2 linked regions of the Rhinolophus ferrumequinum genome follow. The protein of the gene in region 1 binds, or shares a complex with, the protein of each later gene. Links are inferred from orthologs where the notes say so. Each region holds a gene or a part of one and is shown on either strand. Other genes may lie near its edges.

Region 1 (8,255 bases):
TTCAGGTTTTTGTTTTTCCGGCAGTGGACGGTAGCAAAAAGAGCTTGGGGTTTGGAGTTAGACCCATTTTTAATCTCAACTCTGGCAAAGTCTGAAGATTAAAATAAAATTTAAGGAGTGGTGATGATTACATGAGGTAACTGTGACACACCTGGCGCGTGGCGGGGAAGGGAGCGGGAATAGCTGGGAGGTGACATCCTTCCTACTTGGGCAGACCATCCACGTGATGCCAAGGTTTGGGGTCTTTATCATTCTAGGGAATGGAGTTACTCATGGGCCACTGATTTCAGAGGCCAGAGAAAGAGACCAGGGGCCTGCCGCATACCTCTGCTCAGCCAGGGCTCCTCCTCCCTGTCTGCCATGTCCTGACTTAGCCTTCTCGTGCTGGGATACTTTTTTAAAATGTGCTTTTCTGTATTAAATGCTATTTTGGCTCCTACACACCCGTGTAATGGATAGGCCTCCCTCACGAAGGCTCTAACAGATCTGATCTTTATTAAATGCTTGATCAATGCCTTATGTGCTACACACAGTCTGAGCAACCGATGAAGATTTCAAGGCCTCTGAAACTGGCAAGGGTTTCGGGGAAATCACAGGCAAGTTTGTTTGCCTCATGATTAATCCTGGGTGGATTGATCCCGGAAAAGCACGCACTTGTGGGTTTGCAGCAAGCAGCAGCCTGCAGAATTTCACCAAACAAACGATCTAATGGAGAGGCCCTGAGGTATGTTTTGGATGAAAGTTCAGAGGGAGGGTGGGGCCTGACAATTGAGGAAAATGCCAGATGTGTGGACAACAGAGGGCCTTTGAGTCCACGCACATCCAAAGAGACAACCCACGGGACCAGATTATAAAACTGAGCCAGATTATAACACTAGAGGAGGGAAGCCCAGTGGGAGAGTGGGATCCTGTGAGACGGATCATAAAATTCATCACCATAATTACCCACTGCCCCCCCCCGCCCCCAGCTCCCCAACAAGAGCCGACAATAGCTCAGCTCAATGAAGTTATTCATCCATATGCAAGTTGCCTCACTCATTATCCTCAGACAAAACCCCTCCTGGGCCTCAGCTCCTTGCCAGCAGGCCAGCAAATCAGTGTCCCCACACAGCCATCTCCCCTCACCCCCCACAGCCTAGGGGGCTTCCGTCTTTAGCAGTCCAGTTTCTAGTACCAACCACGGCTGTATTTTCAGACAAGGTTTACCGCTACCTTTTAGGAGTCCCTTTGACACTCAGGAACTGGCTTAAAGATAATTACAGCTAACCCTTCCCCGGTCACAAACAGAGAATGCCGTCTTTGCTCAGCAGGGCTGGGAGGTGGCTCGGTTTGGGGGACCTCCCACACCTCGCCCTGGTGAGCACAAAATGGTGTCATGTGCACTCTGTCTCGCCAAAAAGGAAATGTAACTGAAAGGCAGAGCTGTCTATATCACAGTGGAAAGAGAAGTTCCAAAATAGGGCCACCACGAGAATAGCCCCCCCGGGCCTATAGACAGAGTAGTTCCTTCTCTCCAAAGCAACCAGCCCAGCACTGAGCACACTACTCCCGGTATCTTTTCCCTAGGGCTAAGGATGCTCTCCTTTGTGTGGAAATAAGGAAGCCTAGGTGACGTCTGCTCTTCCCTCAAATCACGCCCTCCAAGGATTTCTCTAACCTGGATCTTCAGTTTGGACCATGTAAGAGTTTACTTTTCAGAGCACAGAGCTCGGCCAGCTCCAACCTCAAAGATCACGCGTTAGCTTACAACTCCTTCAGCCAACATTGAGTGAGCAACTCTGGCACGCAGGACATTGGTTTGTTCCTGGGGATCAAGGCTAAGACACAGCTGTGTCCTTGGGCGCTTATATTCTACGGGGGAAAACAGATAATAAAGACCCAAGAAAAGAAATAAAGTGATGACAAATGTTCACGGATGCCATCCACGCAGTGCGCTCCACAGAAAGACGCAAAGGAATGAGAAGAGGATGAGAGGAAGAAGAGGGCAATGAGATGGAAAGATGTAGGCGACCGGCAGGCAGTGCCCCCAGCATCGGATCTGATACATTTGAAATCTAAGGAGTCACCAGCATTCCTGCAGTAACTCAGATTGTTGGCCAAGTTCGACACACAGCCCCAAAGAGCCACCTTCCATTCGCTTGCGTTACTCAGGAGCCGTCCACTTCAGTCCTGTCCATCCACACTACCCCTCTCTAGGAGGAGACGGGGCCTCTTCCAGCTCATCCCTGTTGGTTGGGTCCTAAGTGTGTTTTATGTGGGTGCACAGGGTGTAAGACCTGGCAGCCCCCAGAGAGAGACCACCACTGCACAGGGGGAACCCTCCCCCCAACCCCAGCACTCCTGAATGTCCCTCCCCATTCCATGGGCCCCATCTCTTCTGAGGCCATGGCATTTCTCCAGTACAGCCCTGTAGGAAAGCCCAGTCCTGCCAGTGGGAAGCCTCCTTGCTCTTATCTGTCACCCTACCTCTTGCGAGCCGAGCAGGGGACAGCAGGAGGTGGGCTGACAGGGAGAGAGGCCCCCTCTGCTCCCCACCCTTGCTGCCTGTAGGGTTCCGGGGCTCCTCCTCGAATCCCGCTCAGCTCTTTCTATGGGACCTGGCACCCGATAAGCCGCTGTCTCTCCTTCTCCTGGGTCCTCCAGACTCGAGTACTCACACACTCCCGGCCCGCCCTCTGCTCCCCCGGGCAACCTCAAATCCCAGACCCGGGCATTTCAGCAAGTCAGGGCTAGCTCACCCCCACCAGCGCCTCGCACCGAGTCTTACTTACCTCCTGCCAGAATTCCCGATGCTCTTCCCAAAACCAACAGCAAAACTGGCACCTTCCACATCTTCTTCCTTAACTTGCTCCCTTGGGGGTCGAGCAGCTCGTTTCTGTGCTGAGGGAAGATGAAAAATCTGCAGACACAGGCCTCTCCTGGCAGAGCGCGAACGTGGGGGCTGGAATGCGGGGAGCAAAAGTCCCAGCGCGGGAGGGGTCCCTAAGCTTCCTTCGCCCGCGGCAGCTGGAGGAGCAAACTTTGCAGTTGGAAACTTTGGGAGTGGAGTCAGCATTTATCTCTCCCGAGGAGGGCGGGAGCGTCCCGCTGTAAGGTGGTCTCAGTCTGGGCTCCCTGGGACCGCCCTCTTGCTCTGTTTGGCCAGCGTGAAAACGATGACCTCAGGCCAGGTTTAAAGTTACAGGGCTGCAGCTGTGGGGGCTGCCAGGACGCGTGAAGGGCCCTGAGCGCTGGCAAAATTGTTTTTACTCTGTTCCCCAACAGGAGGGAAAGGGGGCGCATGCAGTAAGCGATTTATTTTTTAAAAATTTTAAACTTTATTTTATTATTCTGGTTTTTTAAGCGCAAGGCACAAAGCCTAGGTTTTTCTTGTTATGAGAAGTAAACTGTTCCTTGTGTGGCCAGTAATTTTAGAACCAAGCATGGGATTGTTCTCGTAAACACTGAATTGGATGGCTTCAAAAAGGGGGGGGGGGAGGGCTCCTCATCTGGGTGGGCCAGAGGCCACTCATGCTGGTAAATTGCGCCCTTGTCCAGGGGGGACTGGAGCAGTAGCTGCCGGAGAGACCTGGCAGAGAGCTTGGCAGACGCTGTGGCTGTGGCAGTTCCAGAGAAAAGGCTGAGCTCCAGACTAGCCCTCCTGATTTTGGAAGTAGCGCTGCGATGCTGGGGCCCATGGTTGATTGTGGGCAGTGGGATGAGGTCTGCAGCCCGAGGACGTCAGCAGGCCCACCTGGTCACCAAACCTGTGTTCACTTCCAGTTCCAGCTGGTTCTCTGTAATCCCGGAGTTTGACCCCATAATCCCCACTCTGCCTGTTCAGCAATCACCCTGATCGCAAGTACCGGATGCTAGCAACAAGCAGAGTTTGTATTAGGTTGGTGCAAAACTAATTGAGGTTTTTGCAATTATTTTTAACCTGTTAAACCGCAATTACTTTTGCACCAACCTAATACTTTATTTCCTTCTGAACTGTTGGAATTGAAAAACACAAAAAATTAAGAAGAGGACTTGGGGAAGTGGCCCTGGACCCACTCCCAGCTGTCACCAATTTCATTCAATAAAAAACCTGAAGACTAACACCCTAAAGCTCCATATGGGGGTGAAAATTGGTGGTTTTCAGATCTTTATCCTAGACTTACTTATCCAAATTCACTTAAAAGTTACCTAGGAAGACTGCTTTAAGAGCTCAGATTCCTGGATTCCACCCCTACTCATTATCCATACCCTTTGGGAATTCATATTTGAAGCCAGTGTCCCCAGAGAACTTGTCCACAGGGATATTTAGTGTTAAAATGCAGGTGCAGCCTCTATGGGTCTGGGGGGGAGGAAGGAAGTCTGCATTTCCAAAGATCCCCCACGTGATGCCTGGTCCGGGAGCTGACACCTGAAGGAAGCAGAGGAAGGGGCCCAGAGAGGCAAGGCAGTGGAAAGGTAAAGAGAAAACTGGAAATAGATCAAATCTGAAGTGACTTGCCCACCTTGCTATTACATTTTATTATTATTACTGCATGTTCAGAGCAGGCATTGTCTGTTGAAACCGCTAGACGGAGAATAGATGCAAATCCACTCCAAAGTCAAGAAAAAAACAAAAAGGCCACCTTCACTCGGAAATGGAGATGAAATGAAGCTAGGTGGGAGAACAGGTTAAGTGCCGCTGATTTAGAGGCTGCTTAGGGCCAGGTTATTATTAACAGAGATGCCTCCTCTACCCTCTGCCCCCGCAGGGAAGTGTCTAGATTCTACCAGGTTGATCACCTGACCTTCTGGTAGAAGATGGAGGAGCAGGTAACAGGGAATTGCATCGTGTTGGAGGCCATCCTGGGGATGGGGAGAGGGGCCAGGACCGGGGAGTGTAAGGACGGGGTCCTGGTGCTGTGGGTTTGAGTAACTGAGGAGAATGGCTGGGCTTGGGGTGGGGAACCTTCCTCAACAAGGCAAACGGCAGAGCAGAGGGAGGGGATGCAGCCTCAGTGCACCTGAGTGGGGCACCTGAGTGACTCGGGGTAAGTAAAGAGGCGTCAGTGAACGGGTGAAATTCAGAAGCCTGAGACCAGCCCAGATGAGGGGAAGAAAGGGACAAGCAGGGAACACACCAGAAGATTCCTCCCTGCTTGTGAAACAGCTTGGGCTCCTAAAGTGCTGACTGGTTAGATAGCGGGGACATTTACCCAGCACACCAGGAACTCCAGGAATCCAGCACTATCTCCCTGACTTCTCGAAACGACCCAGGGTGAGAACACTGATAATACTTTATGAACAAGGACACGGGTTTCCAGAGCAAAGTGGTTTTCTGAGGCGTGTGCATCGATTTGCCTGGGTGGGGCCCAAGAAGTCGCATTTCTGACAAGTTTCTGGGGCCCTACTTTGAGAAGCACTGGGTTAGAGACCACACAAATTCTCCAGCAGTGGGGGTGGGGGTGGTCCATAACGAGAGATGGAGCCACCGTCCCTCTATTGCAGGACTAGTGCTGTGTCTCGCTTCAGGATCTAGGGGGAGAGGTCTGTAAGTTGCCTTTAAGAAGCAAGAGTCCCTGCCCTGTCCCCCGGGGTTGGGGACTAGGCTGCAAGAGAAGGAATCCAGCCAGAGCATCCAGCCTGGGACTCTCCACACTGAGGGATGCTGGAGAGTGAATGAGGATCTCTCATGTTCCCTGCATTCTGGGAGCAGCGGGCCAAGCTTCCCAGGCTGCCTGGGAAGATTTCTCAGCTTCTTCCCTGGCTTCCCAACACACCCTCCCTCGGAGCTGAGGCAGCACCTGATGGGATCTCTGATGTCAGAGGCGCCTCTGTGACTCAGGAATAGATCTGCAGTTGGAGGTACGAGCTGGGGTTAGCAAGAATGGAACAAGCCTGCGGGGGACGGGGGCGGGGATGGTGAGTGGGGAGAGGCACGGGGACTGAAGGAACCCAGAGCAGCTTGGTTTGCTGGGAAAAGCCTCAGTGTTTTGGAATCAAAATTCAGCTCCCTGGTGGCCTTGGGCAGCATAGGCCTCAGTTTCTGCTTCTTTAAAATGGGCATGTAATTCCTACTTTGGAGAGTTCTATGCACAGCAAAGAGTGTGACTGCTGTGATTGCTATGATTAGTCCCTGCCTTGTCCTGCCTGGTTCTCAGCCTCTTGAGTCCTCGGGTGCCCACCTGTCCTCACCCGAACACTGGCCAGCACCACCTGCAGGGCAGAGGTTCTTGACATGGACCCAATAGAACTGGTTCTTTTCAACCTTAGGAAACCCAGCTGGTCCCACACACAGGGATTCAGCATCAACTCGTCCTCTCTGCTAGTCCAACCCTCACCTTGGGCCTTATTCCTGAGAGGCCCCACCTGGATCCTTGTTCATCTCTCTGGGTCCAAGGTCCCCTCTGGGATGCAGATTACCTCCCAGTTCCACCCAGGAACTAGCTAGCTTCTGCACTGCGACTTGGAGGCTGGCTCCTGCATTCATTGCATGAATAGGAAGCTAGATTGGATTTCTGACTCACTGGGCTGTCTCTGTCTGCCAGAACACCCCATTGCTTTGCCAGGGGTCTCCCCAGTGCTTAGTGACCCCTCCTATTGTCACACTCAAACTGTCTCATGCCCTATTCCAGTGGGCTGCACACAATTGTACAGACCCCCTCAAGGAATGTTTAAAAACTAGGTACCAATGAATCTTCATTGAACAGTTGAATAAGTATATGTTTCACTGGAGGTAGAACATACTGTGCTTCTCCGAAAATAAGACCTAACTGGGAAATCATCCCTAACATGATTTCGTCAGGATGACATCCCCTGAACATAAGCCCTAGTACGTCTTTTGGAGCAAACCTTAATATAAGACCTCGTCTTATTTTCGGGGAAACAAGGTATTAAACACTTCATAAAAAGAAAGATGAAGACTGACTGTAATTGGAAAACATATTTAATGAGATGACAATAATATTGGCCGAGTAAGCACACTGACCATGAAAAAAAATTACATAAAATTTTTATCTGTGAATTTTTTTTTTTTAAAGATTTTATTGGGGAAGGGAAACAGGACTTTATTGGGGAACAGTGTACTTCCAGGACTTTTTTCCAAGTCAAGTTGTTGTCCTTTCAATCTTAGTTGTGGAGGGTGCCCTTCAGCTTCAAGTTGTTGTTCTTTCAGTCTTAGTTGTGGAGGGCGCAGCTCAGCTCCAGTCCAGTTGCCGTTGCTAGTTGCAGGGGGCGCAGCCCACCATCCCTTGCGGGAGTCGAACCGGCAACCTCATGGTTGAGAGCCCACTGGCCCATGTGCAAATTGAACCGGTAGCCTTTGGAGATAGGAGCATGGAGCTCCAACTGCCTGAGCCACCGAGCCGGCCCTTATCTGTGAATTTTAATTCATACAGCTTGATAATTTTTTTTTGATAGATCTGGAAACCTTTCCAGTTACACTTAAAAGGGTTAGCATCACTAACCGTCTTTTTAAAAATGATATGCGTTTATTAATTTTTCATTATAAAAATATACATTTATTAAAGAAAATGTAGAAAAAGCAGGAAAGTAGAAAAATGATCATTTGGCCAGATTTCTTTGTGTATTTGTTTACTACTTTTTCTCTTGACAAAATTGCAAATCTGCAGAAAAGTTGCAAGTGCAAGCATTCCCATATACCTTTCCTCCAGATTCACCAATCTGTTTGTGTTTTGCCCCGTTTTCCTCATCATTATCTCTCTATTGATACACATTTTCATATTGGTCTTATTCTGAAACCCTTGAGAGTCATGAAGATACTGGTGCCTTCTGGCCCTAAATAGTTGGGTGTGAATTTCCTGAGGTCAGGGACATTCTCTTTGACAGTCACAGTGGGAATTGTCAAATCACAAAATCTAATATTAAAACACTATTGTCTAATCCACGCTGCACATTCACATTTTGACAAATTTCCCAGTGATACCCTTTACAGCCCTCCCCCGCTCCCCATGCACAAGAATCTAATCCAGGACCGCACAATGCAGTTGGCTGTCCCGTCTCCAGAAGATACTGGAACTCTGCTTCCGCCGTTCTTTGTCCTTCTTGAACTTGATGTTTTTCAAATGCTATGGGCCTTATTTTGTAGACCATTCTTCAGTTTGGGTTTGTCTGCTCTTTGCTCATGATTAGATGCAGGTGTGCATTTCTGGTTGGATATTGTAATGCTGTGTTTTCTCAGTGAGTCACCTGAGGAGGTCCAGGACACACGTCAGTGCCCAGTGCTCAGGAGTATTACCTTTGACCCTTTGGTTACAGGAATCTTATCCTGAATTCAGATT
Region 2 (8,223 bases), on another chromosome or scaffold:
TTCATTTTAATGTGCAAAATGTAAATAATTACTATACTAGAAATTATAGAATAAGTATCATAAAGAATTCTTGCCTTCAAGAAAAATATGTTTTGATAAACCTATATTGGGTAAAACAGAGACTCCAAGGCTTGGTTTCTGCTTTGCTCCTAGGATTCATGAAAAGAAAAGCTACATTAAATAATAAAGGGAATGTGGATGTGGACATATTTTGTTTAAAAATATAGGCTTAGAAGCTGTCAAAGAGGGAAATATGGAAGAGGAGATATGTTTAGTAGAAAATTTTCAACTTAAATATTGTGTGTTTTGCAAATGAGATTGCTCCCCAAACTATGTTTGGGAGAGCCTATGAAAAAATGGAGTTTGCTTTATGGCTTTTTCAGTTGTCTACAATTCAGCAGGAACTGAGAAGGCATGTAATATTGGGATAACACTGTTATTTATATTTTACAACCATATTTCATTTCTTTATGTTTTCAGATTATTTTATTAATTAGTACATAGACTTAAGGAAATTGAAAAAAGGTTAAGTGACTTGTTGCAGAAATAAGACCAGAACTTCAACTCTCGTTAGTCCTACTTAACCACTTTCTATTCTCAAATTTTGTGATTTTTACTGAGTTTAATAAGGTTTTCAGATTAGCAAAACTGGAAGGCATGAGAAAAGTATCTTTTTAAGTCAAATATTTCACTTGGGATTTTCCCCCTATGATCCCAAATTATTTAACACAGGAATCACCTCACCAGGATGTTCTGGTTGGCAATCTTCAGTAGAGTAGCATTCCTGTCGGTACAGTACTGCTTACTCTCTTCCCAGGTCAAGTTGTGCCTGAAGAATCCATAGCAACTATCTCCATGATATCTCCAATTTGTGTCACATGGGCTGCACTTATGGCCTTAAGAAGAAATCAAACATAGGAAACCTTTTATTCTAAATCAGACTTACATATTCCCCAAATTCAATTTTTCCTATAGATCTCAAGATTTTCTACAGATAGCATCACAGAAATATTCCAGGGATAAGGGAGATGAAGAGGTTACCAAACCATACTTACTGAAACCATTCTTTTGTTCTGATTGTTTTACTAAATTTTGGCAGAGCTGCTTTGCTAATTGTTGCAGAGATCCTGAGAGATTTTCATTCTCAACTTGTAGGTAGTTTTGCTGCGTGAGAGCTAAATGTAAAAATTAGTTAATAGTTTATAATCAGAATAAAAAAATACTGCAAAGACATTTCAATAAACTTCAGTTTTACTAGAATTATCAATCTATGAAGGGTTTACAAGATACACATGAGAAATGAGTGCTGACAAGGGACCAGGGTCAAGGGGTGGGGTATAAAGAACAAATTAAGAACTAAGCAAACTGACAGCTGAGGGTTATCCAAAAGAATAAGTGAACTATTTGAAGGAGGTAATCACAAATAAGAAAAGGCCATGATCAAATCACATGCCCAAAGAAGTTGTTTTGAAGTTTCCATACTACAGATTTCTATGCAGATCTCACAAATGTGAATAAACTCTCTTTTTTTGTTTTTCATGTAATACCAAAATATCCATTTATTTAAAAGTTACATATTGATTGCCTTTTATGCTGAAAGTATTGTAATATTTAAGTAAATAAAAAATGGTGAATGAAAGATTCTAAAATATGAAAAAATAAACAAGAACACAAACAAGCAATAATTATATAGATGATAATGTGACTTTGGAGGGCTTTTAGATTTAGAGGGAAAAAATGCTTATAAATTAGGTGGGATATTAATTAACTCTTAGGAAGTAAATACATTCATTAAACAAAATGGGGTGGAGGACATTTTAGGAAGAGGGAATAGAATGAGCAAAATCCCAGGCAGAGAAACATGGGATGTATTTGTGAAACTGAGAAAACTCCATGTTGGCTGGATCTTAGGATTTGCAGGATTGGTAGAAAAGAAAGTTTCAAAGGCTAGTGTGAATCTATGCTGAGGGGGAACTTAAGGACCAGTTAAAAATTCTTGAAAATAATTTTTAATTAACAAAAAAATCTAAATGGTGATTTTAATTGGAAGGGAAAGGTTAGAGTTCTTATTGAGAATATCTTAAGAGCTATGTATAGGATGACTGGAGTGGTGACAAACTGACAAATAAGTTAAGTTTAGTGGCCTACATCAGGACCCTTCCTCGGATGGGTCCTGGTATTGCCTTCCTCGGATGAAATCTTTGGCAATGAGTCAGTACTTACACATAATCCCCAGAGCCACTAGTCCACCAACCAGCCCAATACACAAGACCAGCAGAATCAAAGCCATCACACGCCACAGAGATGAGGAAGGAGAGTCAACTGTGGGCATACAATAAAAATGTCAGGGGGCAGGCAGTATGGCATAGTTACGGGGCAGCACCTCTCCTGGCCCTGCCAACTCAGGATTTTTTGAGGCATATAAACAGCATTATTGGCAGATCTTACCAATGTTCCCTCAGTGATCATCAACAGTAAGCACAACCCAATTCCATTCCACAAATTCATCTTCATCCCTAGTGCATTTGTCTCTGAGTCAAAATACAAGTAGCTGTTAAGATCTTATGTGTTTGTTTTGTTCTGTGACCAACCCTCCCCACAAATAATAATAATGATAATAATAATAATAATAATAATAATAATAATAATAAATAATTGCTTTAATAAGCAGGACCTGCAGAATCACACCCATTTGTTGACATCTTAAAAATGGGTTTTCAAACCTTCTTTCCCCTTACCTTCCTTGGTTTGTATTCCCTCGACATTAAACTCTATAAACCTAAAGTAGCGTTCCCTGCTTGTATCTTTTCTTGTTTGTATTCTAAATAAGTCTGTCCGAGCCTATGTAGATAGTACTCAAATGTTATAGAAAAAGAAAGTCATTCAGGAAAGTAAAAGAAAACTGTACGTGCTGTCACTAGTTAAAAAAAATAAAGTAAATTAGGGTTGACGTATTTCAATAATTAATTTCCAAATTGTTTCCTCTGGGCATTCTTACCTGAGGTGAGAGCTGGTTTTCGAGTTTTAATATTTAAGGTGATGTATCCATCTTCATCCTGCATGGCTTTCTATTGAACTGCAAGTGAGCTTCGGGTTCAACGACTTTACAAAATGTAGTGTCCACGTTTATGATTTCAGTGTCTCTCAGTCTGTGATCCTCCTCTCTCTGGTAAGGTGGAGACATGAGTTGGGGCATATATTTGTTTCTTTGGTTTTTTTTTTTTTTTTCTTTCTTTCCAGGAAATCCTTACATAGCTCCTCAGAGATACATGAACCTTGGACATAAAAACACAAAAATAATAATAACTTGTGGTAAAGGAGTAGATACAGCATTTGTTTCCTTTTTCCTTATCTTCAACTCTGAATGAAGGAATATTGCATCACGTGTATCCTTTCAAAGAACAAAAGTTCACACTTTATCTTAACCCTTGCAGAGTCTAAATCATATTGTTTAAATGAAGTGATTTCTGATAAAAATTCTATCCCATTGTGAGGAAAAAGTCTAATATACTTTGATTTAATATAAGCTAAATTAAATATTTTATGGTGTTATGTTAGAAGACACCATTTCTAATTCTCATCTTGACTTCAACCAACTGCTTGCATTTTTCACAAATCAAATTCTTTATAAATTCAATTACTCCACACAAGGCATACTTCTTGAGCCTAGGCATCAAAGGCAAACAGTCATAAAGTGAAATAATACATTTAGTGACTTCATGTATTGACTTTTAGTGATGTTTGTCTTTTAAAGTGAATTTCCAGGAATAGAAAACTCTTAACTCAATGAAGTCATGTAATTTCAAGTATAGCTGTGCTTAGATGAACAGCTATTTGGGAAAAGGATGGTTTCCTAGTATCCTTTACATCACAATATAATATGTATTCCACACATTTAAGTTTATGAAATGTGTTTTTAAATTGTCATTTTAGCTTATATTGAAAGCATTTATATAATAAGAACACCCATAGAAAGTTAGCTGCTGTACTTATTGTAGGAATATCAGTGAAGGTACTATCTACTTTTTAGAATCACTTTTATATAGTTTTATAGCAGATATTTTTGTTAAACATCCAGGCCAGAAAAGTTTCTCTTTTTCTGAATAACTAGTAAACATTTACCTTCTAAATGATTCTGTTTCTACTTTTTCTTTAGTTAATAAAGTGTTAGACTTTACTTTTCAATATAGTAATTACATAGGATTTCATGACAGATATTTTGTTTACTAACTTTCCTCAGGCACTTCTTGTATACATGTATTATTTTCTTCTTGTTATCTCCTGCACTCTGAATTCTTTGTCAACTCACTTAAAATAATCTTTTATTTTAAAATGTCTTGAGAATGGTGAAAGAATAAACAAAACAGCATGAAAAGCATTGCCTGATCTAAAAATCCCAAACTTACCATGATTTAAATATTTTTAATTAATTTTTGTTAAATTTATTGGGGTGACATTGGTTATATTGGTTTCAAGTATACATTTCTATAACATATCACCTATATGTTGCATACTCTGGGTGTTGACCACCCAAGTCAGTTCTCCTTCCATCATCACACATTTAACACCTTTTTCCCTCTTCTACCACTGCCCCGCCCCCTCTTAACCTCTGGTAATCACTAAACTGTTGTCTGTGTCTATGAGTTTTTGTTTCTTCGTTAGTTTGTCTTATTCCTTTGTTGTTTTCAGTTTTATATCCCACATACGAGTGAAGTCACACAGCTCTCGACTTTTTTCTGACTTATTTCGCTCAGCATGATAATCTCAAGATTCATACATGTTGTCGCAAATGGCAGTATTTCATCCTTTCTTATGACTGAGTAATATTCCATTGTGTATATGTGCCTCATCTTCTTTATCCAATCATCTATCAAAGGACACTGGTTGCTTTCATATCTTGGACACCATGAATAATGCTGCAATAAGGATACATATATCTTTATGGATAAATGTTTTCAGATTTTGGGGGTAGATACCCAGAAAAGGGATTGCTGGGTCATAGAGTAATTCTATTCTTAATTTTTTGAAGAACCTCCTTATTGTTTTGCATAGTGGCTGTACCAGTTTACATTCCCACCAGCAGTGTATAAGGGTTCCTTTTTCTCCACAACCTCTCCAACACTTGTTATTACTTGTCTTGTTGATCACAGTGATTCTAGCAAGTGTGAGGTGGTTTCTCATTGTGGTTTCGATTTGCATTTCCCTAACAGCTAGTGAAGTTGAGCACTTTTTCATTTATCTGTTCCCCATTTGCATGTCTTTTGGGGAGAAATGTCTCTCTAGGTCCTCAGTCCATTTTTTAATTGAATTGCTTTTGTGGTTGTTGATGAGTTGTATGAGTTCTTCATATATTTTGGACATTAGCCCCTTATTGGAGGTGTAGTTTGCAAAATATCTTCTCCCATTCGGTTGGTTGCCTCTTTATTTTGTTGATGGTTTCTTTTGCTGTGCAGAGCTATTTAGTTTGATATAGCCCCATTCATTTATTTTGGCTTTTACTTCCCTTGCCCTTTTGAGGTCAATAAATGGTGCTGGGAAAATTGGAAAGCCACATGCAAGAGAATGAAACTAGGTTGCTATCTGCCACCACATACAAAATTAACTCGAAATGGATCAAAGACCTAAATATAAGACCTGAAACAATAAATTGCATAGAGAAAAGCATAGGTACTAGATTTCTGGATCTTGGGTTCAGAGAGGATTTTATGAACTTGACCTCAAAAGCAATGATTTAAATATTTTCACCAAAAAATAATCCTTAATGAAAAATCCCACTTACTTTAAATAAAAGTCAAATGTGATAATGTACTAAAAATGAAGTAGTTGAATCTCTTAAATCCCCAAATCCAGGAGTACTCTGGACTTACTTCTTGATCCATGCATGCTTAAAAGTATACATTTAACATCAGAAGTAAATAAAGCTAAAACAGGTAACAGGAAGCCTCAGATGATATTCCTTTGCTATGTCTCAGTCTCTGGAATATAATTCATAATGGTTTTAGGGTCTTTGATGACTCTAGCCACAGACTGAGAGTCTTATGTCTAGATCTATATTTCATAAAAACATATTTGCCTTTATTTGTATCCCCCAAGAATAGCTTTGTGCTGTTGGAAATATGTTAGCTCTGAGTACAGAGACTCTCAATGGAGCTCGTGATAACATTGAGTCTTAATTCTGCTTTCTCCCTCTACATGTCTTATAAATACAAGCTGAGATACTCAGCAACAATTAAACAGAGAACTGCAGGACAAAGAGCATAGATATCACAAGCTTTCTTTTCTCTTTTCCAAAATCTAGGAGCTTTGCTAGATAACTCTTAATCATGCTACTAGGCATATTATTGACATATTTTAACTTTGAACTTTTAATTTTACCTTTAACTTTTCACTTGAATATTTCATTACTCCCTCTTTTTTTGGTTCAGGGAACTAAAAAAAATCTGAAAAAACATTCTTTATTCCAAACAAACTTATGAGTTTGAATTTAGAATAAAAACCTTTATTTGTTTACTATTTAAGAGGCACTTTTACATGAATTATCTCTTTTATTTTAAAGCAGGTATTTAATTAATGTTTATTGTATTTCAGACACCGAAACTGACATTGAGCATTCATAGAGAAAGTCATGGTACTAGTCCTTATGGAGCACAGAATCTTAGACTTTTGCTCTCTACCCTTTATTTTTCAGTATTTAGAACAACTTCCCTGACCCCACTGCACACCAGCCCACATCTCATTCTGCTTCCATGTCTCACTCTTTTCTGTAACACCTAACTATCTGACACACATAGAGTCTTCTTAGATATTTAAATTTTTGTTGTATATCCCCTCAAGAGTGTATTCCATAACACTAAAATAGTGACTGACTTACAGTTACCACCCAACAGATACTGGTGAATAAATGAATGGATAAATATATGTACAATGGGTATTTTCATTCTAATATTACTCATACAAAAAAAGAAGTTTAAGGAAGTTGGGGGCTTCTGTGATCATATTTCTTGTAAAAAGTAGTACCATCTTCCTGGTTTCCAAGGTCTTTTCACTACCCTATGATGTCTTTTTAAATTTAGGCATTGTCCAGACACCATTATCTATGTTTATAGCTGAAGAAGGAGTAAAAGACACTAGGGTGACAATGACAAGTTGTAAATGCAATACGAAAAGAAGTTAGTGGAACGCATAACGTGACAGATAAGACTGATCAATATAAAATGATGGCTAGTGGGTGTGTGAAAGAGAAAGTGAAAAAGAAAATAATGTTGAATGCTATAATAATGTCTCTAAACTGAAAAAATATGCACAGGAACTGAGCATTTTGCAGTTGGTGATATCTTTTTATAAACTTTTTAATGTATATCACCTTTAAGCTAATCCTTAGGTGCATTTATCGGTGATATTCTGTTGCCTCTTTCAGTCCTCTGCATTAACATTTTTGGTTCACCTTTTACTGACTAACCTCTTACACACATTAAATACTGTTTATTTTTGGAAAAGGCTAGGATTTCCTGTCATGAAAAAGGCATAATTAATATTTTCTCTTTATCTTCAGAAAGCTTGAACATGTGGACTGAAGTTAAAATAAGCTGTATTAAAAGTTAGTGAATTAAACAATGAATAACTATCAGACAGCAATTATGGTAGAGCGTTTTGTTAGACGTAGTAGAGAAAATGAAGAAAAAATATGTGTGAGACTCCATCTGTACTACTGAGAAGTTTTTCATACACATGCACACAAAACATCTGTAAGTAAACATGTTAAATGATCACAAAATGGAATATATAAGACTTGAAGGAAAGGCAAAATTTCATGAGAGAGAAAAAGAGAATGTTTACCATGAATGGCAAACATCTGAATGAAACTATATGTTTGAATGAGCATGTGATCAAGAGGCAGTGAATTGATCAACCATATTTAAACTAAGGATTCATTTCACAGCATGTTTGAATAGAAGGTGTCCTATTAAAATGATTGTAAAACTTACATGGCAGGCACAATTAATAAATCAATTACTAGAACATATATTTATTGGCCACTGTTTATGTTTCAAGTACTATTCTGTATTCTGGAGATCAAATGATGAAAAAAACGTACAAGAGTTGCACTCTTACCAAGCTTATATTTTAGTGGGGGAAGGGGGTGGACACAGGTAGCAGAGAAGCAAAGGAAGCACAGAGCAAGATAATTTCATGAGAAATGCGATGAAGGAAAAAAAAATCGGA

Evidence for each region.
Region 2: the proteins of PDPN (region 1) and CLEC1B are in contact, whole or in part, in a crystal structure (PDB 3WSR), measured with the Homo sapiens proteins. The link is inferred for Rhinolophus ferrumequinum from reciprocal best matches to the Homo sapiens genes PDPN and CLEC1B. Residues at the interface, in NP_006465.4 of Homo sapiens: Ala46, Glu47, Asp48, Asp49, Val50; in NP_001380271.1 of Homo sapiens: Arg107, Phe116, Arg118, Arg152, Thr153, His154, Leu155, Arg157.

What each region holds. Positions count from the first base shown.
Region 1 is NC_046292.1:8,864,788-8,873,042, reverse strand, and holds the start of PDPN (podoplanin), read right to left. Parts: upstream 3,054-8,255; 5' UTR 2,833-3,053; coding exon 2,772-2,832; intron 1-2,771. UniProt on the Homo sapiens protein: Mediates effects on cell migration and adhesion through its different partners.
Region 2 is NC_046293.1:25,787,734-25,795,956, reverse strand, and holds the start of CLEC1B (C-type lectin domain family 1 member B), read right to left. Parts: upstream 3,262-8,223; 5' UTR 3,063-3,261; coding exon 2,999-3,062; intron 2,323-2,998; coding exon 2,224-2,322; intron 1,176-2,223; coding exon 1,056-1,175; intron 897-1,055; coding exon 745-896; intron 1-744. UniProt on the Homo sapiens protein: C-type lectin-like receptor that functions as a platelet receptor for the lymphatic endothelial marker, PDPN.